7 linked regions of the Mus musculus genome follow. The protein of the gene in region 5 purifies or fractionates together with the protein of the main gene of each other region. This does not show direct contact. Links are inferred from orthologs where the notes say so. Each region holds a gene or a part of one and is shown on either strand. Other genes may lie near its edges.

Region 1 (4,224 bases), on a different chromosome or scaffold from region 5:
CAGCCCCCATTTATTACTGCAAGAAAAGATGGGCTGAACGGCTCATTCTGTGTTCCTCAGACAGAATGACAGAAAACAAACAAACAAACAAACGAGAAATCACTACTTACTGTCCACAATATATCTTCATATATCTGATAACCATTTTCTATTATTTATTCACTCATTCCTCAACCTCTTCATTTTTCTCCATTTCCCAGATTTACTATGAACTCCATGAGGGCTTTCCTTATGGTATCCCTGTTGCTAATGCTATTTTAGACATTGGAGAGCATACAAAAATAAGTAAGCCTGACCATAAGGCAGCTACCAAAACAAACACAAATTGCTAAACACACAGCAATCCAAGCACTACATAAATATACACATAAGGGCCTACGGTAGTAAATATAATTAGGACTGTTACAAGAATCTCCATAAAGGGATGGGCCTTAAGTGATGAATGGGATTCAGTTAGGCACAAGAAAACAATATGAATGAAAAACAAAGGAATGGCACAATGTGTGACAGAAACGTTTCCTTTCTTCAGAACAAAACGCTAACTGACAGGCTGGAAAATGAATTTGGATCCAGAGACTACAACGGTCCTCTTACATACTGCTAAAGACACTGTCCTTTACTCATTGCATAGGCAATTCAGAGTAACGTGCTGTTTTTAAAAGCAAGGCCATTACACAGCCAAGGGTAGCTAGGCATGGAGATTGTCAGCAAAATAAGTCAGAAAGTCATGGTACCAGCTGGGCAAGAGTTGGAGAAGGCCGGAGAACAGAAGTTGGGTAGCAAGGACAGGTGAGTATCAACAAGGTGTGAAGACCAAGAGGAAAATGGAGGACAACTGACTCTGCTTGTGTAACATTAAGGGAGCTGATTTTAGCTATGTTAAAAAGCAAAGGAAGAAATGGCTGCTCTAATAATTTTTCATACACTGAAAGGCCTAAAGTTTCCATTTTAAAAATAATTTTCAGGGTTTCTTCTTGTGGTTTGGTTGTTGTTTTGATTGGTGGTTGGTCTGCTTTGTTTTGCTGAAGTAGGGTCTTAGGCCAACTAAATGCTAGGCTGATCAACTGTGTGCCATCATGTCCAGATTATTTTAAGAGGTTCTGTAGAACACCCAGTTAAAGCTCCCTCGAGTTCTATGAAACATCAAAAGTCTTCAAAGAGCATGCGAATAACTATTGACAATGTAAGAGCTGGCTTTGGTGATAATTTCTACAAGTTTTGTCAAAACCAGAACAGCAAAGAAAAAATCTAAATTTTTCTAAACTAAAGTCAGCCTGGGGGAACAGAGAAATATAAGATGGGCGTGTGTGTGTGTGTGTGTGTGTGTGTATGCGACAGTAACACATTTGAAATTAGAATTCAAATACTTTTATGTATTCATAAACCAGGAAACATGTTAAAGGACTGATCCCTTGATCCCTCAACGACATCTAAGTACCAAAGATCCATGAAACACAGCAAAAGTCAGATCGAATATCCCAATTCCATTGACAGTTAGTTACAAGGGAATTGAAGGCCTCCAAAGACCTTCACTGAAGAAATGGGCAGCTCAACCAGACAGAGAGAGAAGTACTAGCCCTACTCATAAACTTAAAGCATAAATACCCACCGCTCTCCAGAAAAATCACCAGGGCTATGGAGGCAGATTCACCAAAAATATCTAGTTTCCCAAAGGAAAACACAGAGCAAAGGAAATTCATAGAGCAGAGGAGAGGCAGAATCTAATTTAGAATACCAATTAAATAACCAATTTCATCTTTTTATAAACCAGGATTCTCGGTTTTGTTTAAAGGACCAGAAACTTAAGAGAGATAAGGCAAGACCACGTGAAATCATTTGTAAGGAAGGAGTAGGCAGCCCAGACTAGCCTCGAACCTCGAACTCAAGGTCCTCTTGCTTCAGTCTCCCAAACGTTGAGATTTAAAACCATGCAAAGTAGCAAAAAGTTTGAAACTATCAGATGCCTCAACTTTCCAATACGTGGCAAAAATCACTAACTTCATTTGGCCTTGACGTCCTTCCTCGTCTCTAAAACCTGAATGCTACCTATGGGCTGTTTATGGAATAGACAATGTCAGGCGCTTAGTGAACCAGAATGTACTGCCAAATGCAAAGAAATTGTTTTAAACCTGGCAGGAGCGACTTCCATTTTACTTCCCAAACGGAAACACCATTAGGTTAAATGTCTAGTTCCTCGAAAGGAAGCCAACAAAGCGGGCTCGGGTCTCAAAGAACCCTCCAAAAGCCCCCCAGGCCTTCTCGCGTCCCCTTAACCACCATCACCTGTTCAGGTGAGGGGGTGGGAGACTACCAAGGCGAACACCAACGTCAGGAGCTGCATACAATGACTCGCCCAAGGTCAAAAACATTACAGTGGAGACAAGCCAGGCTTGCCAGCGGCAGAGGATCTGTCTTCTCAGGTGCTGCCCCTTCCGGAGCCTCAGGGAGCGGCCAAGGGATGCGGGTCTGCAGAGAGCATCCGACCTCCTTCTGCAGGCCCACTCCTGACCACCGCGGGCGCGGCCAGCTCCTACGCCCACCCTCAGCTAGGGCCCCACCCCCGAGGCCAAGACCCCTGCGCGGGAGACCCCACAATAGGAAGTTTTCCCGGCTCGCACCCCACGCCAAGTCCACGGTCTCACGCACTATGGCGGCCCGGCCCAGGACCCCGGCGGCGACACCACCCAGGCGATGCCGCCGGACATTCAGCCTTTCCCCGACCAGCAAGCCCCTCCTTCGGCCCAGACAGCGAGCACAGACGACTGCAGACTTCCTCCGCGAGCTCCGCCTCTTCGCTGCCAAGACGCACCCTCCCACCGGAGACGACGGACAGGCCCGTGAACCAATCGAAGCACTCCGAACTGGAAGGGTCACGCGGACGGACAGACTCTGGAACCAATCCGTACGCGAAGCGGGAGGGGGCGTGGCTCAGTGTCTTGAGAGCCACGCCCCGTCTGTGCTTTCGCCACCGCGGAGGAGGCGAAGGAAACTTTCCCAGAGTTCCTTAGAGCTCCCTGGGTCCCCGCGGGGGCCCAGGAGACAGCAGCGGGCGGGGAGGGGGCTGGGGTCGGCTGCGGATTGGGTGAGGATCGGGCGGAGCACAAGGACACCGTTCCAGCTCTGAGAGGCCCCAGAAACCCTTGCTGTTGTGAGCCTGGTCAGCCGAAGGATGCGGCTGTCAGTCCGGCAGACATCCTCAGGCCAGGGGTGGGCCAGCTAGGTTCCAGGGTGGTGGGCAGCGTGCTCTCGACTGCCTGTGCAGCTACCACCGGAGCAGCCCAGCAAACATTCCCAGAAGCTGTCCGGTGGAGAGCAGACCACATCTGGGATGCGAGGCCAGAAGTCCCGCGTGCAGGACTTCGCGGTACACTGGCACCCTCCATTCTGATAGGTCTTCCGTTCCCAGTTCACTCGGGTGCAAGGGACAGCTCCAGGATGTCAGGTGCACACAGCCTTACCCCAAGCCCTGGGAGCCCGAGGCCCCACCCTGACGAGTACGCGTGTGTGATGCGCGGTAACCAGAATGACCTACGAGTGTGCATGTTGTCGCCTGAGGGGACACCATTCTACATTTGGAGACTGTGACTTCCAAACCAGGGCAAGAAGCATTAAAGACGCTAGCGGAGAGAATCTGGCTGGGGGCGGGCAGGGGGCGGTGCCGAGAGTCGGGGAAAAGGGTCACGTGGAGGAAGCGGAAGCGGAAGCGCCAGCCTTCTCTCACCTCCCAACCTATCATAGCACAGATCTGCTCTAAGACTGAACCTGGGTCTTCCTCCTACTTTTGTCCATCCTGGTCCAGGGCGATGGCTCTGCCTGGGGATCCGCGGCGCCTCTGCAGGCTGGTGCAAGAGGGCCGACTGCGTGACCTTCAGGAGGAACTGGCGGTAGCTAGAGGTTGCCGGGGGCCAGCCGGAGACACCCTTCTCCACTGTGCAGCACGCCACGGACGCCAGGATATCCTAGCGTACCTAGTGGAGGCTTGGAGTATGGACATCGAGGCTACCAACCGAGACTACAAGCGGCCTCTGCACGAAGCTGCCTCTATGGGCCACCGGGACTGCGTGCGCTACCTCCTGGGCCGAGGTGCAGTCGTGGACTCCTTGAAGAAGGCGGACTGGTAGGTGCCCAACCCACGGTCCAGAAAAGCTATATCGACACTCCCTGAAGAATCGCAGATTTTCATGTATTTTTCAGTGTGTTCGTTAGATTTATAACTTTTCTCAG
Region 2 (3,500 bases), on a different chromosome or scaffold from region 5:
AGGGAAGGATGGCAGCACTTACCATTGGTGTGAGCTCACTGTGACCCAGGAGGTCCTTCTATCAGGGCTACAGAACCTGCATGGCAAAGGCTTGTGCATGGTGCTCACTGAGAGCCACTCCTGTCAATGTGCAGACATAACACAGCCACACCACCAACCACAGGACAAAAGCTGAAGTCTTCCTTATGGTCCAAATGGGATCACTGTGGGAGGGACTGGGGCTGGGAAGCAGGAATCCCAGTGGGCTCCCCCCTCAAGGGGAGTCAGGCTGTGAGACAAAAAGACAACTTCCAGCTCTTGGTCTTACTGGGTCTTTTAAATCCTGACCATGGCAGTGTTTAGAGCTATCCCTTGTTTTGTTTTACTAGACACTGAACAGTAAAACTGCCCCAGTTCCGAGTGAACAGAGGCATCTGTCAAATACATGTGAGCATCAGAATGAAACTCTACAAAAGCTAAACTGTCTGTTCCTAGCTCTCTCCTGCCTGCCTGTCAGACAGTGACCCCCGCCTCTGTGCCACGTGACCATCTGAGGACAGAGAGCTGCACAGACAAACCACGCTCTTGTCATACCTTCCCTGACTGCATGGGGGCAGAGCACACTGTAGGAGTAATCCACTTCTCCCCAGAGCAGTGCCCATCACACTGCGATCACAGAGAGCGTGGATGCTGAAGGTGAGCCACTGCAGAATCAGGAAAATCCATGGTTTAAGGGACAGCACCGCACAGACACTGTGCCAGAGGCCTGAGTTCTGCAGGCTGCCCCAGGGAACTGAGCACAAGCAAACATCATCCGGTGCCTCTGCTAATCCTGGGCTCCAATCATGCTGAGCAGCCCAACATCTTGGGCTGTGGGTCCATCACAAAGGCCAGCTGCTCCAAGCTAGCACTGTAGACCCGGGAACACTGCCACAGCTATTCAGGAAGCACAGCTAGAGAACAAAGATGGTCGACTCCATGGGCCAGGGGTGCCTGATCCAGGGATGCATAGTACACACTATGGTAACTCGGCACCCAGACTGGAAATAATGCTTAGAGCTGACCTGCCCCAGCAGGGCTGCCTACTCCTGTTTCTGTAGAAACTCACTTCTTAAATACACCTTTGGCTGCCCATTTAACTTCATCTTCCAGCTGGGTTTCTAGCAGGCCAAGAGACTCAGACTGGCAGTGGCAGCCATTCACTTGGAGGTGTAAACGACCTCTAAAGCTCCCAGTCAGCCCCAGGATGGCACCTGACTGCCAAGGCAGGATTTACACCTCATGAGGGGTTCTTAGCTTGTGAAAGTGTGGCTGGTCCATAGAACAAATGGAAGCCCTGCACCCCAAGTCTCTCTACAGCTGACAGCGTCAGGTCGTGTTAGAGGAACACTGAGCACCGCAGAGCTGATCTGAAGCAGCAAGCTTAGGGAGATTAAGCAGTGACCCCAGGTGTTTGGTGCTTGGTATTCAAATCTAAAGATCCCACAGAGAAAGGGAGAGAGGGGACCGGTTCCAAGTCCCCAAACCTCCTTGCTCAAGGCTAGCTCTTCTGCTCCCCTGGCTCATGCCAAAATGATGTGTGCTCAAATTAAATACAAATTTGGCAAAGACAGATGAATACTGCCATATCACCAAACCATGTCTGCTTGGTGAACAAGACTGGTGGCAGCCCTGTGCGAAGTCTCCCAAGCTGGCTCAGCTTCCCGTGGCATCCTGGAGCCAAGCTCCCAATCTACACTGGCGTCCATGGACCCCCTCAAAGGCTCCTCCTGACTCTAGGTGAGACAACTGTGTAGGATGAATGCTTTCTGCCATGCAGACTGTAGCGTACCACTGCTGTTCACTTAGCTGTTAGGCCAGAAAGGAAGCAGGAGCTCACAGGGTGAGCCTGCCACGTAAGCAGGAAGGAGGTTGGGACCATGGTAAGAACAAACTCTGGCCCTGAAGTCACCTCAGTGTTTGCACGTGCTGCTGTGTTGTGTTGTGTTAGAAGCTGGGGGTGGAAAGATGGCTCAGCAGTTGAGAGCATTTACTGCTTCTTACGAATGCCTGGAATTAAGATTACCAGCTCATAACACTTACAACTCCTGCTCCAGGGAATCCAACCTCTCATGAGCACATACCCAAACACAAAAAGTAAAAGAAGGAGAGGAGGAATAGGAAGAGGAGGAGGAAGTAGAGGAGAAGGAAGAGAAAAAGGAGAAGGAAAAGGTGGAAGAGGACAAAAGAGAGGAGGAAGAAGAGAAAAAGAAGAGAAGAAAAAAGAGGAGGAGGGGAGGAAGAGGAGGAGGAGGTAGAGGAGGAGGAGGAGGAGTGGGGCTGGAACCCAGGGTCTCATGTCCACTAAGGGAATGTTCTATTAAGCTATAGCCTCAGCCCAGCAATTGGATTGAGTCACAACTTAGCTTGGAAAAACAGGAAAGTCAATTCACCACTCTGAGGTGCTCTTGACTTCTTGGGGCATGAAGGAAATTGTAGTCCCGTCTCAGGGGGCTGTTGGAAGCTTCATGAACAGAAGCCCTGGGCATCGTCACTCTAGTCCATGTCAGACCAGGGTCCTCTGAATGCAAACTAATAAGCACAGTAAGCGCTCACCAGCTTCTGAACTTCAAACTCCGAGGCCACATGCCAATGCCCCTCCTCGTTGGGGTACAACATCACAACGTCAAAAGCAGAAGCCGTGGCAACAATGGGCTTTTCTTGGCTCAGCGCAAGGGCTTGTATTCTTGCGTCATGCTCAAAACGAAAGATAGGGAACCTTCCGGTTCTCAGGTCCCAAATGTTAAGGATCCCTAGAAGGAGAAAAGCAGAGAACAACCGTAAAGCTGGTACACACAGACACAGAGCAATCATACAGTTGCTTTTTGGATTACTGTGTGAGGATGACAGTGTATGGCTCTTTGTCTGAGCCTGCACTGCTGTCCTAGTCAGCATTCTGTCTGACATCAGCAGTACTTACACAGGACTACTGGGCAGGCCTTGGGAGACTCCCATGATTTCCTCTATGGCTCGCCCATAAAGCTAGCCCTAGTTCTGACCTCCCTACTGCCAACAGTGGCACGAGTCACTCTTGGTCTCTGTGCATCTCTAACTGAAAGTGCCCAAGTCCAGATTCTTGCTCTGATGTAGCACCCTGCACATACAGTTAGGTGTTGCAAGACTTCCACATGGCTGCAGCAAACAGCCACAGAGCTCTCTTCCATGGAAGGGCTTAAACACGCATGCACTTCTCTAAGAACTATGATCAAATGAGGACAGGCAGGTCACAAAAGGCTCCATGACATGGTCCCCCGGCATATACTTTGGTAACTCTCTCTATTCTGCCTCAGAGGGAGATGATGTGCTACAGAAAATAAACATCTCGGGGGCCACTCATTAAACAGGACCTAGTGTCTCCTCTCCAGAAGGTCTCATCTTGACACGGCCTCTTCCAAGTACTGCTGCTCTGTATCTGTTCCAAGGCATCACAGTGTGGACTGCATGTGTTTTAAAGCATCACACAGTGGGAACTGCTACGCAGA
Region 3 (4,074 bases), on a different chromosome or scaffold from region 5:
GGAGGAAGTGACAAGAAGGCCCTGATCTTACCCCATCCATCCCAACAGTACCTATCCTGGTCCCTCAGCTGCTCATCTCTACTCTGGCCCTTTGCTGCGCTAAGCAGCTAATTCCTACTCTCAGAGCTTAAAACTTTCAGTGTTGTGACTATTACAGGTGCACACGCGTACACCAGACATCGTAAACTGTGTGGCCCCCAGAGGGTATAGTGTGGCCACTGCTTCGCAATGTCCTCATAGTGAGGGCTTACTTCATCCACAGCATCTCCCTTCCTGTCACCCCCACTTATCCTGGCATACCATCCCTGTAGGTTCTCACTTAACAGTCTTTTAACAAGGCATTAGACCCAGCAGAGCTGCAGCCCTCGCAGTAAATAACTGATAAATGGCTGACTTGCTGACATATATTTTCATTCACTTATCTGATCTCTTTCACTGGCATCTACTTCATCCTAACGATATACTTCAGTTTACTGTGGATAAAATCAGCAACAAAAGCCAGTGTTTTGTAAAACAGCAGTCAAAGTAACTTTCTATCCTGATTCAACCAAAGGTCTTCTAATGCTTGGCTCAGTTTAGCCACACACTTCGGTCAGGCTCTCGTGACAGGCTGGTGTCACGAGAGTGGCAATCCACCTGCTCTATGCTTTCTAAGTTCTTGACGCAGCCATTTCTGTGAGTGGTTCTCATTACTGTGTTCATAGCTTTGCTACCGTCTTAGGGCAGAAGACAGCATCTTCATTTTCTACCTTAAATGAATCAGAATGTGTGACACTTTGGGGGTGGGGTGGGGTACCATGGCATAATTCAATATGCTCATTCTTTCTGATTTCAGGGGACTTTAGACTTCCCCACAATGTTACTTCTGTAACCGTGAAGGGAACTGTGTGCTTTTTTAGGTTTTTCCTCATTGCAGTTCTGAGAACTGAACCTATACTGAGCCTTGCAAACTACAGACAAGGGCTCTTTCACTGAAAAGACCCCCACTCCTTTTTGAGATGGAGTCTAAGTTGCCCACGCTGATCTAAAAAGTTGTGGTCCCCTATCTCAGCATCCCAAGTTCCGAAATCGAAGCCAAGGCCTCACAAGTGCTAAGCAACTACTCTATCAGCAGTTAGATTCTCACCACCATTTTAAAGAGAAAACTGAGGGTTTTCTGATCCAGGTTTTCTGACTTATTTTGTTTTTAAGATAGGGTTTCTCTGTGTAGCCCTGGCTGTCCTGGAACTCAATCTGTAGACCAGGCTGACCTACAACTCAGAGATCCAACTCTTTCTACCTCCCAAATGTTAGTGACAGGATTATTAAGAGGTATCACTAGGCAGGCATGGTAGCACAAGTCTTTAATCCCAACACTCGAGAGGAAGAGGCAGAGGATCTCTGAGTTGAAGGCCAGCCTGGTCGACAGAGAGAGTTCCAGAACACAGTTATAGTACATAGAGAAACCCTGTCCTGAAAAAAAAAAAAAAAAAAAAACCAACACAAAAAGATATCATACTGGTGGACAAGCTGGAGTTTATCAGTGGTATTCTTAATGACTTGTTCTTTTGCTTCAAAATTAAAGATTTCTGCTTGCTTCAGCAACACATATACTAAAACTGGAACGATCCCGAGAAGATTAGCATGGCCCCTGAGCAAAGACGACACTCCAATTTGTAAAGCGTTCCATATTTTTAAATAACAAAAAAAATTATGCATGAGACATAGGCAGGGATTTCCCACACATTCAAGGCCACCTTAGACCATAGTTACTAGTTTAGGGCAGCCAGGACTACACAGTGAAATCCTGACTCAAAGTGTGGGTACAGAGGGAGGGAGCACTAAGTTTACAGACCCTTTATCTGTAAGATAATGAAGACCTTTATTTGATTGATTTATTTTTCCATGTTGAGAGCTAATTATCGGTACCCCGATCACCTGAGTGGTTACTGGGTACAAAAAACGAGCCCAGCACTCAAGAGTTAACTTTGGTCCCAACGTTCTTTGGGGACTACCCAGGCAAGCAACACACCTCTCTAACATTAGGCATATCCAGCAGTTCCCCAAACACGTAGACACCAGGGGCCTCCAGCACCTGGTGGATGAGTGTGGCCAGTGCCGCCCCCTTAGCCGACTTGGCAAGGAGCAGAAACTGCTCTTGGTTCTGCCCTGTCACCTTCACCTCCGCACTCATGGCTGCGCCGAGGTGCGGGGCTCTGGCCTCAAGATTTCTGGAGCTGCAAGGAAAGAGGAACGTGAAACTAAAGGTCCCTGGACCCTGCGAGGGTGGTCAGCTCGAAGGGACGGGAGCTGCACGCTCAAGAGGGACCCCGCCACATCCGCAGTGAGTAAGTGGGGTCCTGAGGTCTAAAAGGCAACTCGAGGGCTCCTCCAAGCCAGCCCCATCCTGGCTGCCACGCCCACCCGCTCCGTCATCCCGGGCCCAGTCCCAAGCCCCACCACGTGCACCCCATTGAGTTCCAAGACTGATGAACCAGGGAAGGGAGAGATAGCACATGGTGTCTACCGGACGACGACGAACCCCCACTTCGGGACGCGAGTCGTGCACGTGGCCGCCCCCACGTGACCTCACCTCCTCGCGCCTGACTCGCGGCTCCACCCCCTCCCTTAAAGAGGCAGCCCCGGGACCGGCCGGGGTCTGCGCCCAAGGCCAGGTCGTACCCCCGGACCGACTGCAACCGACGGCTACCTGGAAGCCTCGTCTCCCAGCGCACGGGGCGGGGCGGCCGCTCCGTCACCTCCGGCAGCGGCTCCCAAGCCTTTCCTGCCACCTCCCCGCAGGGCCGCTCTAGCCGCTCGCTTCTATGGCCAGCTTCCGGCCGTACTTCCGCTCTCGGGAGGCGGGTTCCGGGCGGCTCCGGCCTGCTTCCGTTTCCGGACCGCGGGAGGCGCGAGAGCGGCGCCCATCTTCCGCTCTGTCCGTGCATCTTTATGGGTGCGAGAGCGGTGAATGCAGGGTGCGGAGAGGACCTCGGCTCTGCGGAGGTCCGGGGGAGCGACCCTCCCGGGAGCTGCAGGACAAGGCAGGATGGCGGCCCCGAGTTCCTGCGGCGACGTGAGCGTTAGCGGAAGGCGAGAATTCGCAGAAAGAAAAAATAAGGGAGAAAGGAGAGAAACGAGGCTATAAATAGTCCAACAACTTATCCACTCTTTTTAAAGAGCAGAAGAAAAGTTTAAAGGGTAAGGGGGCAGGAAGTGGTAACACATGCCCCCACCCCACCCCCCGGCGTATTGGAGGTAGAGGTAGGGGAGAATCAGGAGTTCAAAACCAGCCTCAGCTCCATCGCAGATTCCAAGCCAGTTTGAGCAACATGAGAACCGGTCTCAATAAGAAAGAAAACAAACCCCCGAGTGATTAAGGGGGAAAAGGAAGTGTATTGGTTAGGCTTTTGAGGTTTTCTTCCCATAGAAGTTTCAGATCGCATGACCAGACTTTTGGCCATGGTTACTACAAATAAATATTGAGTCATTTTTTTAGTCTTTGGATCCCAAATTAGCAAGGAGAAAAGTGTGAGTGGAACCAAGGCAGATGAGGAAATTTAAAAGTTAAAGGATTCAGCCGGGCACTTGTAATCCCAGCATCCAGGAGGCTGAGGCAGGAGGATTGCTATATGTTGGGAGGTTATCCCGGGCTACAGTGTGAGAGACCCTATCTCCCAAATATCATGGTGGTACACACCTTTAATTAGGTGGATTTCTGAGTTGGATCATCCGCCACTAAATAGACCAGGTTTCAAAATGAAACAAAACAAAAATCCTTACAGAAACCATATAAGGAGGAAATTAAGGTAAAGCCAGGTTTACTGTTAGATGATTTGTAATCCTATCACTCAGTAGGCTGAGGCAGGAGAATTGGACCTTCAAGGGCTGAGTTCTGGAACTAACCTGTAGGACAAAGAAATATGGATAGGGTCCAAGTGCATACCTGTCTGATTCCGTCGCTTCCTTCGAGGGATGGTGGTGCATGCTTGTGGTCTAGCACTTGGGAGGCTAAGTCAGGAGTATCTTAGGCCCAAAGGCCATGTGAGCTGCATAGTTCCAGGCTGAGAGTGGGAGAGAGAGAAGAGTTAGAAA
Region 4 (4,187 bases), on a different chromosome or scaffold from region 5:
ACGGCACATTCAGACCTGGCACCCGTGGCTACAGCCTCACACTCACACAGTCCGAGTTTCCGAGCCTGCTAAGGAGATAGATGTGTGTTAAGTGGATGGTATGTGTGTAGAAGTGGTGGTCCATTAAGACTCTTGGGTTAACATCCTGGGATTTTTCCCAGTTTCCCTTTTGAAAGCAGCCAGTGTTTCAGGTTGATTTGTGTGCACATGGAGAAAACAAGAAAACCAGTGTGCTGAGCCAAATTGATCACCCATCTATGCATCCACCTCTAACTGTGCCCCTGCTGCGTTCAAAGTCCACCACACGTTCTAATTAAGTAAGCAGTGACACAGGGAAGGGGGGGGAGTAGAGTTCACCGATCCATCATTATTAGAGAAAAGCACACACAACCACAGGTGGATCCCAGGGAGAGCCTGTGAACCAGTGGCTTGTGACTAACTGTATCCCACATGCCCCGCATCAAAACACCTGTGTGTGCGCACATTTAAGCCAGGACTGAACACTTGTAGTTACTGACTGGCAGGGGCACTGTTCCAGACTGAACCAAACCTTGGTTCATTCTGCCGTTAACAAGCATTTCTATAAACAAATTGGGGGGTGTCTATTTGTAGTTCCCATTGGGGACTGAGTTAAAAATGTGTTCAAAGTTCAGATCTGCTCTTTCAAAACTTGAAACGCCTTGAAAACGCTGCTCATAAACTCCTTTAACAGCAGAGTGGGAAATCAGAACTAACCTTCAGAAAATAACCTTCACCAACCTAGAAGAACTAAACAAGCACTGTCAGCTACACTGGTCGGCTCACAATCTGCAGGGACTGGAAATACGAGAGGGGACAATTCCCTAGCCCTACAAAAAGTAGTGAATGGAACGGACACCGATTTCCATGGGACATTTCTGGACAAGGGAGAAAAACAACGACTAACTCCGAACCTGAAAAGAAACACACATCTCAGCCCTTACAGAAAAGCGACACACGACTCGAGCCAGGCTTGAGGCTGCCTCCTGGGAATCGCAGTCCTCAGGAGGCTGGACGGGAGTTCAAGGCCAGCCTGGGCCGCATAGTGAACCTCCTCTCTCGGAACAAAGAGCCACAGTGATAAACAGAAATGCTCAATGGCTAGGAGCAGCTACGGCAGCTTTTAACCTTGGTTCCTTAAAAAGGCAGTTCCCTGCACGGCATGCACTTCTGCAGCCTCCCTGGGAAACAGGCACCAAGAGGTTGACAGTGCATAAAGCGCCTAACAGTCTCAAAGAGTAAGGCTTCTCTGGACCTAGTGGACACCGCCCTGTGTCCCTTTCCGCTCCTCAACACCCCACTCCCTCTGGCTTTAAAAAAAGTAGGGCTAGCAGGGACAAATGGCTCCGTGTTGTTGGACGGGAGGAGAGGGGACACAATGACTCTTATAAGCATGCAAGCAAAGGGCTGTGTGAGCAGTGAAAAGGGAAATAGGAACAAGAGCTGAAAAGCTATGGCAGGCACACACGAACGAGCGCGTGCGCGCACGAACACACATACACACACACACACACACACACACACACACACACAGAGCATGACCAAGCCTGATGCTTACGTGCTCTGAAAAGAACCGCTTGGAGAAGGAAGCTACAATCTTCCGGGCTTCTAACCCAGCTTTCTGCCGAACTTTATATTCCTCTAACCAATTGACGTAGTCGGTGGGGCTGTAGTGCTTCATCAGGGAGGGCCACCTATAAGGGGGGGGGGGGGAGAGAAAACACCCTTTCTCAGCTCCGCAGAGACTGCAAAAAACCACGGAGGAGTCTGCGGGCAAGGGGGGGGGGGTGGACTTGGCAGAGGCTCTAGTTGCAATAATCATAGCGTATGCAATGCATTCCCTCACTACTCAGATGCAGTGACCTTGGCGTGGCGACACGAAAGGCAGCGTTTCTACCACCAGTAGCCGCCGCCCCCCCTCCGCCCCCCAATCTCTGCGCTGGCCACAATCACAGTGATGCTAACGGTTCTCGTGGATGGCGCGCCTCCCTCAGCATCAGGCCCTGCAAACCCGGGCCTCATCTTATTTGATTCCCCATAATGGGAAAAAAAAAAAAAGGAGGGGGGGTCTCATCACCGACCAGGAGACCCAGGCTCTGGAGAAGGGAGGTGGACCGACATCACCCCCTCCACCCCCAAGGTCACGAGCTGGACTGGCAGGTCCGATGCCGGCATCCTAAGGAGCTAGCCAGGAATGCACGCACCGCTGCTTTGCCTGCACGTCAACATCCTGCAGCGGCCACAAAAGATGCGCCTCCTCCTGCAGCCGGGAGGCGCGTGAAGGCCGCAGCCCCCCGGGGCGGAGCGCTCCGGAGGCCCCGGCCTCGGGCGGCTGCCGCGACCCCATCGGAGCTCCGGAGGGGGCCCCCCGGGCTGCAGGCAGGCCTTTGTCTGCGGCCGCGGGAAGAGGGCGGCGCGCGGCCCGGAGGCCCGGAGGGTGGCGGGGTGGGGCCCCACGCGAGGCCCGGCGCCGAGGGGCTCTGCGGGTCCCGGGAACGGGATGCTCGCTCACCTCACCCGGAACTGCTCCTTCCACACCTGCCCGCTGCTCTGGCACACCTCGCGCAGGCGGCGGCAGGTGCTGGACACGCGGCCGATGTCCAGCGCCGTGAGCGAGCCGCTGCACAGGATGTACTCCAGCACCTCGCCCGGCAGCTGCACCAGGCAGCTGGGGCCCGTCGCCTCAGCCGCGGCCTCCTCGGCCAGCGCCGGCACCACCTCCATAGCGCTGTCCCCCGCTACCGACGCCATCTTGTCCGCGTACCTGAGGGGGCCGCTGTGCGGGCGGGCGCGCGCGCGATAGGAGCCTAAGAAGCCGTACCACGCCCTCAGGGGGAGTGGCTGGGAACGCCCCGCCCACGCCAGGGGGTCCCGCCCACTCCGCTTGGAGGACTGGGAAGAGCCAGAGGCGAGAGCTGGCTGCTGCTGCAGAGATAAATGGTCCTTTCGCGTCCTGATTCTCCCAGGGGCATTTTTAAAAATGATAGCTGGGTGCTCGTCTTCGGCAGCGCAGATACTAAAACTGGAACGATGCAGAGATTTGCATGGATGCTGCGCCTAGGATGACACGCAAATTCGGGGAGGCGGTGGCACCTTTGATCTCCGCATTTAGGAGGTGGAAGTAGGCAGATCTCAGAGTTCGAGGCTAGCCTCAGCTATAGAGCGAGTTCCATGACAGCCAGAGATACACAGAGAAACCCTGTCTCGAAAATAAATATATCGAGGTTGCCCGGGCAGTGGTGGCGCACGCCTTTAATCCCAGCACTTGGGAGGCAGAAGCAGGTGGGTTTCCAAGTTCGAGGCCAGCCTGGTCTACAGAGTGAGTTTCAGGACAGCCAGGGCTACACAGAGAAACCCTGTCTCGAAAAACAAAACAAAACAAAACAAAATTGCCCTTTGGCCTTCACCTTCTCGATGGGACATGAGTCCACATAGACAATAACTAAAAGTTAAAAATGACTATGGTGGCTTACTTCCTAATTCCCAGCTCTCAGGAGACCGAGGCACGCAGATCAAAAGTTGGGCTATCTATATTAAGATCCGATCTCAAAAGCAATTTGAGACAGAGTCTGATGTAGTCCACTCTGGTCTTGAATTATGTATTGGAGAAGGACCTTGAGTTTCTGGCCCCCCTGCCTTTACCTCCCATAGCTTGTATTAAAGGCATACACCACCAAGATGTACTTCAGAGGTGGTAGTGCGGGGGTGAAACCCAGGGCTTGGTGCCGGTTAGCCATGCACTTTACAGCCATGCCATAGTCCCAAAATTAAGCTGTTGAAAATGGCTATCTTATACCAAGCACTTCCTGGAAGTGATTTGGCCTTCTCCACGGGTGACTCACTCTCCACTGGGTACTGAGGCAAGCATACTATTTGTTTTTGGGGACCCCTATTTCTAGCTCTATGATGGTGTGGAGAATAGTAGTAACCCCTGAATCTATGTCCTGATTTGAAGCAGGTCGAAGTATCGTGGGGAGCTCTCCTCTGTGTGACTGGGCTCCTTCAAGCCGCTGATCCCTTTGACTCTGCCTCCCAAAATGCTGAGTGTGATTTTAGAGGTGTTCATGGTGTCTGCTTTTAATTGTCTTCCACTCAACAATCCTTCATGATTTGGGGGACATATATGCCCTCTCTGGCAATACAACAATTACCATATGCTCTGGCTGTCC
Region 5 (4,150 bases):
TCTGGAAGGGCAGCCAATGTTCTTAACTCCTGAACCATCTCTCCAATCTGTGATTGTAATCTTGTTCAACAAAAACTAGCTTAGGTAAGAGTACTGTAGTTCAAATCTTAGCCCTGATGGGCCTGTAATTTGTAACAATACTCCTGCCACTGCCTTTCAAATGCTGGGATTCCAGGCATATACCACTATATCTACCTTCAAAGGTCATTTTCTTCCACTATTTTTGCCTTTATGGCTGTCTAAGAAGGAAATAAAAGGCAACTCTATCTACACCCCATTTTAAATGGGATCTTGCCTGATTTACAATGAATAATTCATTCTGAGAGCAAGGTACGCCTCCAAGACATTGTTTTAAGAAACAACTTAACCGGTGGTGGTGCACGCCTCTAATCCCAGCGCTTGGGAAGCAGAGGCAGGTGGATTTCTGAGTCCAAGGCCAGCCTGGTCTACAAAGTGAGTTCCAGGACAGCCAGGGCTACACAGAGAAACCCTGTCTGGGGGGAAAAAAAAGAAAGAAAGAAAAAAAAAAAACCCACAAAAAAAAAAAAAAAACCCCACAAAAAAAAAAAAAAAAAAAAAAAAAAAGAAAAGAAAAGAAACAATTTAATTCAGGAGGCAGAGGCAGGTGGATCTCTAGTTCAAGGCCAGCCTGGTCTACTACAAAGTGAGTTCTAGTAGAGCTAGGGCTACACAAAAAACTCTGTCTCCACAAACAACCACAAAACAATCTACTTCAAACACACCAATGGATGAGATACACAAGTGCCTAAGGGTTCTGAGCCTGCTTTGTATTCACTGGTAAAGAAGACAATTGGGCACACCAGGATGACCACCATTTCTGTAACCTTCTCAACTTCTTCCCATCTGCCCCGAGTTACTTACAAAGATCCATAATGTGGTTCCTGCAGATGGCACAGTTATCAACCACAATGTCCCAGGCCCAGAGGGCCACTGCATTCCACTGCAAGGAGAAGAGGGGAAACAATGCATTTTCCTTGTAATCTAACAGCTCATTAGGACTTCAGCTTGCAGCTTCAGTTACCAACGCCCCAGCCACAGGGCCTACCAAAGAAAGGATGTTTTTGGATTATACTATTTGGACTATATCAGAGGACAACAGCAGACCACCTGTACACTTCCCCATTCCTTGAAAGATGAAGTATATGAACATGGGTATCTTCAATTTTTTATATATAATGTAAAATAATTTAGCTAGCCAAACCAACGTGAGAATATTAGTACTATTTTCTGTACAGCTTTCCCTGACAGCTGTGGAAGAACTCAAAATCTGCATAAGCACGGGCTCTCCACAAAGTTTTGGACTCAGAGGCAAGGAAGTGAACAGACTGAACTAAGATAATAAATGGACCACTAAGTGGATAATCACAGGATAAGCTGGATAGCAAGTTACCTACCCAGTTTCAGTACACAGAACGAGGTCATCACTTAAACCTTAAAAGAGCACTGCAAGCAAAGTAGAATCCACTGCGATTTTCTTTTCCTCTTACCAAGTAAACTGATGTTCTCAACGTTCATATATCCAAACAATTACTTTGTTAGCTCCAGTAAGTCGACCTAAGACTTCTTATGTTAGACAAGGCACCCTTTTCAAGGACTACTTTGGTTTGACTTTCCAAATTCAAGCATAAGAGTTTAGTAAATTCTACATTACATTTTTATTTTTCATAATGGCTGCAGGCTGTAACTGAGCAGCAGTGGCCACAATGAGATGACACAAAAAGGGGGTGGGGTGAGGGATATTCTCAGCGACACGTTCCAAAAATAATCCATAAAAAGAAAACACCTTGCCCTCTTCAAGATCTTCATTTTTAACAGATCTGTGTAATCTTAGGTAGGAATCAACACTTTTAAAGGACTAGCAAACTATGAAGGGGAACGGCATACAAAAGGACGTTTCATATTTTTGTTTTTCTGTTCTCAGGTCATTAGCAATTAGTACTCCACCTTCTTAAATGGCACAAGTTCTGGGCTTGCTTTTAAAACAAAGCCCACCAGGCTTTTAAATTATCATTTTGTGTTAGAAGTGTACAGGGACATCAGAGAACCACTGGAGTGGCAGATGCTATGTGACAACTAGTAGCCATCTCGTTAGAACCAAGCTTTACACTTGACTGTGGGTTTAGAGGCCAATGGAGGCCGCCATACAATCGAGGGCCCACGCCAGGTCCCTCGGAGTCAATAGATTCTAGGATCCAGGAAGGGGCGGAGCAAGAACACCGGCAGAGCCCCTCTGCGCTGTCATCTCACGTTCCCGGGGTTCTCCGCACGGCCCCATCCTCCACCCGCCGCAGTCTCTTCACGAGTCTGCATCCCACCCACCCCACCCTGTCCTTCCCCCACCTCTCAGTCACTTCAGTGACAGCTCAAGCGCTTGGCTCCCGCATCGAAGTCAACCTCGCGTATTTCAGTAAGCAGCTCTGCGATTGGCCCCACAGCTTCCCCAGCAAGACTAATAGGGCCCCAGACACTGGGCCACCAGCATGCCGATCAACCCTAGGCCCGCCCCCCGGCTTCCGTTCTTGGTGCCCGGTCCCAGGAACGCCCTGAAATGAAGCCCTTTCCCCCGCGCCTAGCTCTTCCTCGGGCCTGCCAGCCATATCCGCGCCTCCCTAGCTTCCTTGAGGAAGGCGCTGGCGAGCCCAACCTTTTTAACTTCAAAGCGCTTCTTGCCCGCGCCGCTGTTGGTGCCGCTGGGGGTATCCACATCCATCGCCGCCGCCATTTTGGAAACACACAGTCTGTCGTGTGACCACTGCGCCTGCGCACCGGCTCACTTTCCGCCGCCTGCCCCGCACACCAGGCGCCTCCTCCCGCACCCCTCCCCTCATTGGCGCGAGCGTGGAGAAGGGGCGGAGCCTGCGGTCACGCCCCTTAAAGGCGCAGGCGGAGGTTTCCCGCCCCCCTCCTCCCCATCTCTCTCAGCTGGGGAGGAGGCTGGAGTGATTGAGGCGGGGCCGGGCGGGGCCGGGCGGGGCCGAGAGAAGGGAGCCAACCGGTGGGAACGTCCGTGAGGTCTCGATGCTTCTCGCATTCTGGGAAGCCCTGTGGTCTGACTCCTTCATTTGGGGCGGCGGCTGCTTCCTTCTTCTGCCCCAGGACTTAAGCCCTGGTCCAGATCCACAGAGCTGCCCCCGAGTCCGTGGTTGCAAAGGGCATGGGCTGGTCTTTGGAAACCCGAAACTCCAAACCGGCCTTCTGCTGACCGTGGTCGGCTTCGGAGCCAGGCGGTGTCTCTCTGGAGGCCTGTGGCCCGGCTTACCAAGGCCTGGTCACCGTCTGCGTTATCAATTTCAGATTGGGAAATTATTTGATAGGGAGAGAAGAGGCCCAGGAGCAAACAGAGCAGGCATTCTGCAACTTTGCCTTTATCTTCTCACAGGAAAGGTGATGGGGATGCCATAGTAAATCCCATAACCAGCCAGTTCTAAATGGTCCTCCTTTCTCCTCATTTCCTATCGAGTTTTGCTACTGTGCTACGATTAAATTAGTACATTTGTAGTGGCTGAACTTGAGTTCTGGTGAGGCATTCTGATTTTCTTACCGGTCATTACCATCGAGCTACAGAACACATACGTTTTGTAAGCTTCCATGATTAGTCCAGCCCTCCGCTGTTTTGTCTCCTAAATTTGCGGAGTTATGACTAGAATACATCACCCTTGAATTTCCTGTGTGTTCTAGTTCCCTCAACAGTACAACAAAAAGGGTTTTACCGGAAATGTGCCCCTCCCCCCCCCCAGAAAGGGTTTTTCTCTGTGTAGCCCTGGCTGTCCTGGAACTCAGGACTGGACCTAGGCCGGCTTCGAACTCAGAAATCTGCCTGCTTCTGCTTCCCAAGTGCTGGGATTAAAGGCATGCGCCACCACTGCCTGTCCTGAAATGTTCTGTTAAAAGAAATACTTGCTGGTGTGTAATGCGGTGTGTCATTGATGCACTTGCTAAGCAGGGCAATACATCCTGAATACCACCACAGTTTTAACTTGCACAGAGACTTGTGAGAGCCCTGCAAGGTGTGTGTGTGTCTGCCCAAGTTCTACCTCCCACACTAAATCTGTCATTGGTCTATGTGTCTACAGACCCCCTAAGGGATGCTAGAAACCCATAGTTAATTAAGATACTGAGGACATATTTA
Region 6 (4,065 bases), on a different chromosome or scaffold from region 5:
TTGTACACCTGGGAGAGGAGATCCAATGATGGATAATCAGATAGGATATCTTTGAGCTAGGAACTGTAACTTGGTGATAGACACCCTAGGGTTCCATCTCCAGCACCCCATATCCCATTACAAAATAATTCTTTTTCCATCTCTAGCATTAAAAAACAAAACAAAGAAGTTCTTCTTTCCTCTGAGAAACACTTCTGTGTGCCTGCTCTGAGAGGCATTTAAAAATGGCCAGGGCTTTAATCCCAGCAGGTCCAGGTCGGATTCCTGTGAATTTGAAGTCAGCCTGGTCTACTACCTATTCCAGGGCAGCCAGGGCTAAAAAAGAGAGACCTTGTCTCAATAACAAAACAATGCTGGTATGATCGCTAGAATTGCAGCAAAGAAAGGGATGTAACTAACAAGGCAAGCCATTTTTGAGAAGCAGTGATTTCACAAGTGTTAGGGATGGGCGCTGGGAGATTGCTGATGCTGGTATTTAGATGAGACCATGTGGGGTGGATTAGATTATTTTCAGGTTTCTCATGTTCAATCAAATGGCTGTACATACACATGTACACATACAATCTTTTTAGTGTAACAAACCTAGAATCAAAGTAAAGCTAACTGTAGGATTGAAGCATATTCTGAACTGAACCCTTAGGGGTGTGAAGGCCGCTTCAGGTTTCCAGAGAATCAACCGGCATTGGATGGAATAAACCAAGGGGCCAGCCCAGGGGCAGATCGGTCGAGCTCTCCGCTACTGAGCTAAGCCCTTGGGTTCTAGAGCCGGGAAGGGTCCCCAACATTGTGTTCCTCTCCCAGCCAGGAGAGCATGGGCTGCGGGAGGCGAACAGAAGGATAGCGGGGCTGACGTCGGGAGGTGGCCTCCGTGGGAAGGGACACCCGGATCTTGACACAGCCTTGGCAGCGGAGTAAGGAAGAGTAGGGATAGATTCTGGCCGCCCTCTTGGCCAGCTTCTCGCCGCCCCACCCTCCGCTAGGGCCAAGAGTAATTCATACAAAAGGAGGGATCGCCTTCGCCTGGGGAAGTCCCAGGGACCGTCGCTAAATTCTCATAACCCATAATCCCGGTACCCGCCCCACCACAGTGCGAGGAGCATGCGCTCAGGGCTGAGCGCGGGGAGAGCAGAGCACACAAGCTCATAGACCCTGGTCGTGGGGGGAGGGGCGCACTGAGCGGGGGGGGGGGGGGTGATGGGGGGGAGGACCGGGGAGCTGGCGCGGGGCAAACTGGGAAAGCGGTGTCGTGTGCTGGCTCCGCCCTCTTCCCGAGGGTGGGGGAGAACGGTATATAAGTGCGGCAGTCGCCTTGGACGTTCTTTTTCGCAACGGGTTTGCCGTCAGAACGCAGGTGAGGGGCGGGTGTGGCTTCCGCGGGCCGCCGAGCTGGAGGTCCTGCTCCGAGCGGGCCGGGCCCCGCTGTCGTCGGCGGGGATTAGCTGCGAGCATTCCCGCTTCGAGTTGCGGGCGGCGCGGGAGGCAGAGTGCGAGGCCTAGCGGCAACCCCGTAGCCTCGCCTCGTGTCCGGCTTGAGGCCTAGCGTGGTGTCCGCGCCGCCGCCGCGTGCTACTCCGGCCGCACTCTGGTCTTTTTTTTTTTGTTGTTGTTGTTGCCCTGCTGCCTTCGATTGCCGTTCAGCAATAGGGGCTAACAAAGGGAGGGTGCGGGGCTTGCTCGCCCGGAGCCCGGAGAGGTCATGGTTGGGGAGGAATGGAGGGACAGGAGTGGCGGCTGGGGCCCGCCCGCCTTCGGAGCACATGTCCGACGCCACCTGGATGGGGCGAGGCCTGGGGTTTTTCCCGAAGCAACCAGGCTGGGGTTAGCGTGCCGAGGCCATGTGGCCCCAGCACCCGGCACGATCTGGCTTGGCGGCGCCGCGTTGCCCTGCCTCCCTAACTAGGGTGAGGCCATCCCGTCCGGCACCAGTTGCGTGCGTGGAAAGATGGCCGCTCCCGGGCCCTGTTGCAAGGAGCTCAAAATGGAGGACGCGGCAGCCCGGTGGAGCGGGCGGGTGAGTCACCCACACAAAGGAAGAGGGCCTGGTCCCTCACCGGCTGCTGCTTCCTGTGACCCCGTGGTCCTATCGGCCGCAATAGTCACCTCGGGCTTTTGAGCACGGCTAGTCGCGGCGGGGGGAGGGGATGTAATGGCGTTGGAGTTTGTTCACATTTGGTGGGTGGAGACTAGTCAGGCCAGCCTGGCGCTGGAAGTCATTTTTGGAATTTGTCCCCTTGAGTTTTGAGCGGAGCTAATTCTCGGGCTTCTTAGCGGTTCAAAGGTATCTTTTAAACCCTTTTTTAGGTGTTGTGAAAACCACCGCTAATTCAAAGCAAAAATGGGAAAGGAAAAGACTCACATCAACATCGTCGTAATCGGACACGTAGATTCCGGCAAGTCCACCACAACCGGCCACCTGATCTACAAATGTGGTGGAATCGACAAGCGAACCATCGAAAAGTTTGAGAAGGAGGCTGCTGAGGCAAGTATAAGGCAAAAGGAGGGATGGGAATTCTTTAAGCAGGGAGTAGAACCTAGGTCTTGGGTGTACTAATTAGAAGTCACTTTGCAGATGGGAAAGGGCTCCTTCAAGTACGCCTGGGTCTTAGACAAACTGAAAGCTGAGCGTGAGCGTGGTATCACTATTGACATCTCCCTGTGGAAATTCGAGACCAGCAAATACTATGTGACCATCATTGATGCCCCAGGACACAGAGACTTCATCAAAAACATGATTACAGGCACATCCCAGGTGTGTAAAATTTACCCATTCCTGACTCAGGATATTTTTTAGTGGGGTGCTTTCTCTGAGATAATGGTATATGATTGTCTTGTTTCTTACAGGCTGACTGTGCTGTCCTGATTGTTGCTGCTGGTGTTGGTGAATTTGAAGCTGGTATCTCCAAGAACGGGCAGACCCGCGAGCATGCTCTTCTGGCTTACACCCTGGGTGTGAAACAGCTGATTGTTGGTGTCAACAAAATGGATTCCACCGAGCCACCATACAGTCAGAAGAGATACGAGGAAATCGTTAAGGAAGTCAGCACCTACATTAAGAAAATTGGCTACAACCCTGACACAGTAGCATTTGTGCCAATTTCTGGTTGGAATGGTGACAACATGCTGGAGCCAAGTGCTAATGTAAGTGACTTTTAAGGTAGTTGAATGGAGAAAGCCGCAATAAGTAAGGAGGTTATAATTGACTGCCTGTGTTTTAGATGCCTTGGTTCAAGGGATGGAAAGTCACCCGCAAAGATGGCAGTGCCAGTGGCACCACGCTGCTGGAAGCTTTGGATTGTATCCTACCACCAACTCGTCCAACTGACAAGCCCCTGCGACTGCCCCTCCAGGATGTCTATAAAATTGGAGGTAAGTAGAATATTAAGTAGAATGTTGACGTGAATTTGAAGTCTTATGTTTTGTGTATTAAATACTTATACAAAACAATACTATTTTAGGCATTGGCACTGTCCCTGTGGGCCGAGTGGAGACTGGTGTTCTCAAGCCTGGCATGGTGGTTACCTTTGCTCCAGTCAATGTAACAACTGAAGTCAAGTCTGTTGAAATGCACCATGAAGCTTTGAGTGAAGCTCTTCCTGGGGACAATGTGGGCTTCAATGTAAAGAACGTGTCGGTCAAAGATGTTAGACGAGGCAATGTTGCTGGTGACAGCAAAAACGACCCACCAATGGAAGCAGCTGGCTTCACTGCTCAGGTGACACATTTTTAAGATAGGTGGCTAGATTGGTTGTGTGTGCAGAATCACAAGGCAAGACTTAAATACACGCTGTTTTTCTTAGGTGATTATCCTGAACCATCCAGGCCAAATCAGTGCTGGCTACGCTCCTGTTCTGGATTGTCACACAGCCCACATAGCATGCAAGTTTGCTGAGCTTAAAGAAAAGATCGATCGTCGTTCTGGTAAGAAGCTGGAAGATGGCCCCAAGTTCCTGAAGTCTGGCGATGCTGCCATTGTTGATATGGTCCCTGGCAAGCCCATGTGTGTTGAGAGCTTCTCTGACTACCCTCCACTTGGTAAGCCTGATCTGAGTCTGCTACACTGAACAT
Region 7 (3,500 bases), on a different chromosome or scaffold from region 5:
CTGTCCTAGCTACGGAAAGGAGACAGGTAAGAACCATGAGCTCTGTGCACAAAGGGTGGAGGAGGTGGTGGGGATGTGCTCTGGGAAGGCAGCTGCTCACCTGATGGTGTTGTCAGAGGAGCCGCTCACCACCAGCCTGTCTCTGTACTGCAAACAGGCGATGCCACGCTTGTGCCCATTTAGGGTCCTTACGAATTCACAGGTACTTGTGTTCCACACCTGAGACACAAAAGCGACAGCTGAGCAGTAGATCGGGTACTTCTACTAGTAAAAACAGGAAGCGGGCGATAGAAGAGACTCATCAGAGGAGGCCAATGCCTCAAAGAAACAGCAATGGAAAGCAAGAGCCAGAGTGACACAGGACGAATGGGAAGCCGGCTGCTGTCACATGAGACTGCCCAATGATTTGCTCTATGAATTAGCCTCCTTTCCTGAGTCTGCATACTTAGTGTCCGCCTTAGTTCCTTCCACCTTATTTTTTATGTGTATATGTAACTGCTTGAGTTTGTGTGTACCACATGTGAGCCAGAATCCAGAGGCCGGAAATTGGGGCCTCTGGAGCTAGAGGTCCAGATGGTTTGGGCCACTATCGTCATGCTAACAACTCAACTCAGGACCTTGGCGTCCTTGACAACCCCTCTACCTCATTCTCCTAGACAGGGACTTTGAATACAAAACTTACTATCTGGCTAGAACGACTGGCCAGCGACCACAGGGTTTGGCATCGCTCCCTTCTGAGCAATGAGATCACTACCTCATGGTGACACATCTGGCTTTCCCATGGCGGTTCTCACGCATATGCGGCAAGGCCTGTTCACACTGGCCGTTTCCCCAGCTCCAGTACGGATGTGTCCTTGAACTTAACTTTGGCTTGGCTTTCGCCATGCATGCCATCACTGCCATCATCAGTGGCACTGTTATCTTTCCAATCTGGCTCTTGGGCACACCAGGTAAGTGCCGTCATTAAGCTACACCTCCAGCCCATAACCATTGTTTATAGAAATAAAAATTGAATTTAATTATTACAGTATCCTACAACAAGGCTTGTGTATACAGTTGCCCTCAATCACGCTTTTACACAAACTCCTACTGCAGCTTGTGAACTTACTGAAAAGTGACCTGTTACCTTTATGGTTCTATCTCCAGAGGCAGAAACGATGTACTTGTCATCAAAGTCTACAACATTGACCGCAGCTCGGTGTCCCACCAGCACCCTCCTGAGGGTGATGTCAGTTGGGGAAGCCATATCCCACACAGCGATGGAACGGTCTTTGGAACAGGTCACCATCATGCCATTATTGAAGCGCAGGTGCAGAACGGCTTCACAGTGGTGAATCAATGTGTTTAGCATCTCACCTGCATTTACATCCCACACTCTGAAAAGGACACCCAGGAATCAGATGGTACTTAGTACAACGCACGGCCTATTCTTGACCACCAATGGGATAATCAATCAATCAATCAATCAATCAATGCATGTCACCCCTGCTTTCTTTTTCTTTTGGAGACGGGGGTTTCTGTGTAGTCCTGGCTGTCCTGGAACTCACTCTGTAGACCAGGATGTCCTTGAATTCACAGAGATCCGCCTGCCCCTGCCTTCCAGTGCTGGGACTAAGGGTGTGCACCATCATGCTTGGCTCACCTCCTGCTTTCATGGCAAGTGCTCTTGTTCTGCATGCCCCAGGCAGGGTACACAGGAACCATGAGGAAACACCATGGTTCATGTGTACAGACAGGAAAGGCAGGTTTAGTGGGTGCTTCTTGTATAGTGCCCAGAGAGGAGGACATAGGTAGTCACTGTCACCTTATAATTTGGCCCAAATTTTTGGGTTATTATTTTAACACTGACATTCAATAAAAAAGACACATATAAGCTAGGAATCTCATGAAGAACAGCAGTAGTATCTGTCCCAGTCACTGCACTCTGGGCCAAGATGTTTCACACAGACTTAGCAATGCGGACTTGACTTTCACTGTCCTAAACATTAGCTTTTCTTCCTACACAGACTCTAAGTTAAAGGCTCCAGTTTTGTGCTTTTCAGGGGCAAGTTGGTCAAGATGAGCCTTCCTTCTCACCCTAAGCCCATGCTTCATGGCAGTGGAGACCCTTGGCGAGCTGGAGAACTCTGCCGAGATAGAATTACCTACATTACTCTCTATTTGCATATTGACTTTATGTTTAAAAGCACTTTGTTTCTCCTTTGCAGCTTACCCTCCTTTTGGAAAGTTATTTTTTTGTGCTGTAGTGTTGCTAAGAGGTAGAAGGCTATTTAGACGATTTGGGTTCAATCCCTAAACTGCCAAGACAACAACAGACATCATCTCCCCTATTCTATAAACGACCTAAGCCTCTACAGTGCTGCAGCTCCTGTGGCCTCCAAGCCAGGAGAAGAGTCGACTGCCAACACCTGCCAGGGTGGGCTCTGCTGTGCCTGCAAGTGAGAGGAACAGGCTTTGCTGTTCGCAGAGAACTGACAATGCAGACAACTGCCGTTTAGTCTACGCTTGTTTTTTTAAACGTTACTTTTGATGTATTACTTTGGCTAAATCCTTTAGCTTAAGGTGAAATTCCTAGCAGGTTTCCAGCAGTGCTGCTGGTACCCTGAACTCAAGCTACACTGGACTCCAGCAGCATAATGGCTGTGTCATCAAATCACCAGAGCCTCTGGAAATTGAGGGCTCCCTCCTTGAGTAAAGCTTGCAATTAAACACTGTGGGGATGGCAGGGGAGGGCTGGCAAGGAGCGAGTCTTGCTCACCTGTATCCACTTGAAAGAGCGCCTGCATACCTGCACTGCAGTTACAATCACCTGAAAGACAGGCTTCAGTCCCTTCCTGCCATTCCCCTGAGCTAGCTTCATAAGGAATGTAAGGCTTCCCATAAAGAGAGGGAAGTTCCTCTACAGGTGTACCTCCAAATTAAAATCTGTGTGTAGCTTCTTAAATGTGCCAAAGTAGATTCTACCCAATGGGTCCCACATCAAGTGTTGGTTCCAGAGCGACAAGTAACTGACCAGAAGCTAACAGCTTATTCTTTGGTTTCAGAAAAGAATCACCGTGACACAAAGTGGAGGCTTAGCGTTCAAAGGAGCAGCAGAGAGTCCCTACCTGACGGTGGAGTCTGAGGAGCCTGTGATGATCACCCTCTCATCGTACTGCAGACACAGGACGGAGCCCGTGTGGCCCGTGAGAATCCGCTTGCATTCCAGTGTGCTTTTATCCCAGATCTAGGAGGGCAAACGAGACCCTTTTGATCACTGTCATAATAGGGTGCTGTGGAGACTTGTTGTCCTGTACATGTGTGACCCCCCCTGCCCCAACATCAAAGCCCAGAGAGGGCGAGGACTGCATTCTTTCCTACAGGTAGAGCTAAGCTCCTGGATGTGTTGACTTCAGTTCTAATGCTAACTTTATCCTTTTTCATCAAGGTGGAAGAGTAGCCTATAATTACGAAGGCCCAAATAACAACAGCTCCCATCAGCACACTTCTAGAAGGGAGTC

Evidence for each region.
Region 1: the proteins of Rbx1 (region 5) and Fbh1 purify together in Homo sapiens (affinity purification with mass spectrometry; 3 studies listed by BioGRID and IntAct, with this or other methods). This does not show direct contact. The link is inferred for Mus musculus from reciprocal best matches to the Homo sapiens genes RBX1 and FBH1.
Region 2: the proteins of Rbx1 (region 5) and Fbxw8 purify together in Homo sapiens (affinity purification with western blotting; 6 studies listed by BioGRID and IntAct, with this or other methods). This does not show direct contact. The link is inferred for Mus musculus from reciprocal best matches to the Homo sapiens genes RBX1 and FBXW8.
Region 3: the proteins of Rbx1 (region 5) and Cops7a purify together in Homo sapiens (affinity purification with mass spectrometry; 3 studies listed by BioGRID and IntAct, with this or other methods). This does not show direct contact. The link is inferred for Mus musculus from reciprocal best matches to the Homo sapiens genes RBX1 and COPS7A.
Region 4: the proteins of Rbx1 (region 5) and Fbxo21 purify together in Homo sapiens (affinity purification with mass spectrometry; 3 studies listed by BioGRID and IntAct, with this or other methods). This does not show direct contact. The link is inferred for Mus musculus from reciprocal best matches to the Homo sapiens genes RBX1 and FBXO21.
Region 6: the proteins of Rbx1 (region 5) and Eef1a1 purify together in Homo sapiens (affinity purification with western blotting; 3 studies listed by BioGRID, with this or other methods). This does not show direct contact. The link is inferred for Mus musculus from reciprocal best matches to the Homo sapiens genes RBX1 and EEF1A1.
Region 7: the proteins of Rbx1 (region 5) and Btrc purify together in Homo sapiens (affinity purification with western blotting; 5 studies listed by BioGRID and IntAct, with this or other methods). This does not show direct contact. The link is inferred for Mus musculus from reciprocal best matches to the Homo sapiens genes RBX1 and BTRC.

Annotation. Positions count from the first base shown.
Region 1 is NC_000068.7:11,774,786-11,779,009, forward strand, and holds the start of Fbh1 (F-box DNA helicase 1), read right to left. Parts: upstream 2,801-4,224; 5' UTR 2,648-2,800; coding exon 2,647-2,647; exon of another isoform or gene 2,284-2,646; intron 1-2,283. Other genes in the region: Ankrd16 (ankyrin repeat domain-containing protein 16), read left to right, coding at 3,804-4,117. UniProt on the Homo sapiens protein: 3'-5' DNA helicase and substrate-recognition component of the SCF(FBH1) E3 ubiquitin ligase complex that plays a key role in response to stalled/damaged replication forks.
Region 2 is NC_000071.6:118,092,959-118,096,458, forward strand, and holds part of Fbxw8 (F-box/WD repeat-containing protein 8), read right to left. Parts: intron 2,772-3,500; coding exon 2,575-2,771; intron 1-2,574. UniProt on the Homo sapiens protein: Substrate-recognition component of the Cul7-RING(FBXW8) ubiquitin ligase complex, which mediates the ubiquitination and subsequent proteasomal degradation of target proteins.
Region 3 is NC_000072.6:124,962,713-124,966,786, forward strand, and holds the start of Cops7a (COP9 signalosome complex subunit 7a), read right to left. Parts: upstream 2,801-4,074; 5' UTR 2,690-2,800; exon of another isoform or gene 2,573-2,689; intron 2,555-2,572; exon of another isoform or gene 2,440-2,554; intron 2,217-2,439; 5' UTR 2,174-2,216; coding exon 2,012-2,173; intron 1,676-2,011; exon of another isoform or gene 1,571-1,675; intron 1-1,570.
Region 4 is NC_000071.6:117,975,383-117,979,569, reverse strand, and holds the start of Fbxo21 (F-box only protein 21), read right to left. Parts: upstream 2,801-4,187; 5' UTR 2,770-2,800; coding exon 2,531-2,769; intron 1,713-2,530; coding exon 1,577-1,712; intron 1-1,576. UniProt on the Homo sapiens protein: Substrate-recognition component of the SCF (SKP1-CUL1-F-box protein)-type E3 ubiquitin ligase complex.
Region 5 is NC_000081.6:81,464,966-81,469,115, reverse strand, and holds the start of Rbx1 (E3 ubiquitin-protein ligase RBX1), read right to left. Parts: upstream 2,801-4,150; 5' UTR 2,744-2,800; coding exon 2,666-2,743; intron 962-2,665; coding exon 883-961; intron 1-882. UniProt on the Homo sapiens protein: E3 ubiquitin ligase component of multiple cullin-RING-based E3 ubiquitin-protein ligase (CRLs) complexes which mediate the ubiquitination and subsequent proteasomal degradation of target proteins, including proteins involved in cell cycle progression, signal transduction, transcription and transcription-coupled nucleotide excision repair.
Region 6 is NC_000075.6:78,478,925-78,482,989, reverse strand, and holds the start of Eef1a1 (elongation factor 1-alpha 1), read left to right. Parts: upstream 1-1,265; 5' UTR 1,266-1,351; intron 1,352-2,301; 5' UTR 2,302-2,335; coding exon 2,336-2,479; intron 2,480-2,569; coding exon 2,570-2,749; intron 2,750-2,841; coding exon 2,842-3,138; intron 3,139-3,215; coding exon 3,216-3,366; intron 3,367-3,455; coding exon 3,456-3,712; intron 3,713-3,797; coding exon 3,798-4,032; intron 4,033-4,065. UniProt on the Homo sapiens protein: Translation elongation factor that catalyzes the GTP-dependent binding of aminoacyl-tRNA (aa-tRNA) to the A-site of ribosomes during the elongation phase of protein synthesis.
Region 7 is NC_000085.6:45,513,734-45,517,233, reverse strand, and holds part of Btrc (F-box/WD repeat-containing protein 1A), read right to left. Parts: intron 3,227-3,500; coding exon 3,108-3,226; intron 1,377-3,107; coding exon 1,127-1,376; intron 220-1,126; coding exon 101-219; intron 1-100. UniProt on the Homo sapiens protein: Substrate recognition component of a SCF (SKP1-CUL1-F-box protein) E3 ubiquitin-protein ligase complex which mediates the ubiquitination and subsequent proteasomal degradation of target proteins. Recognizes and binds to phosphorylated target proteins.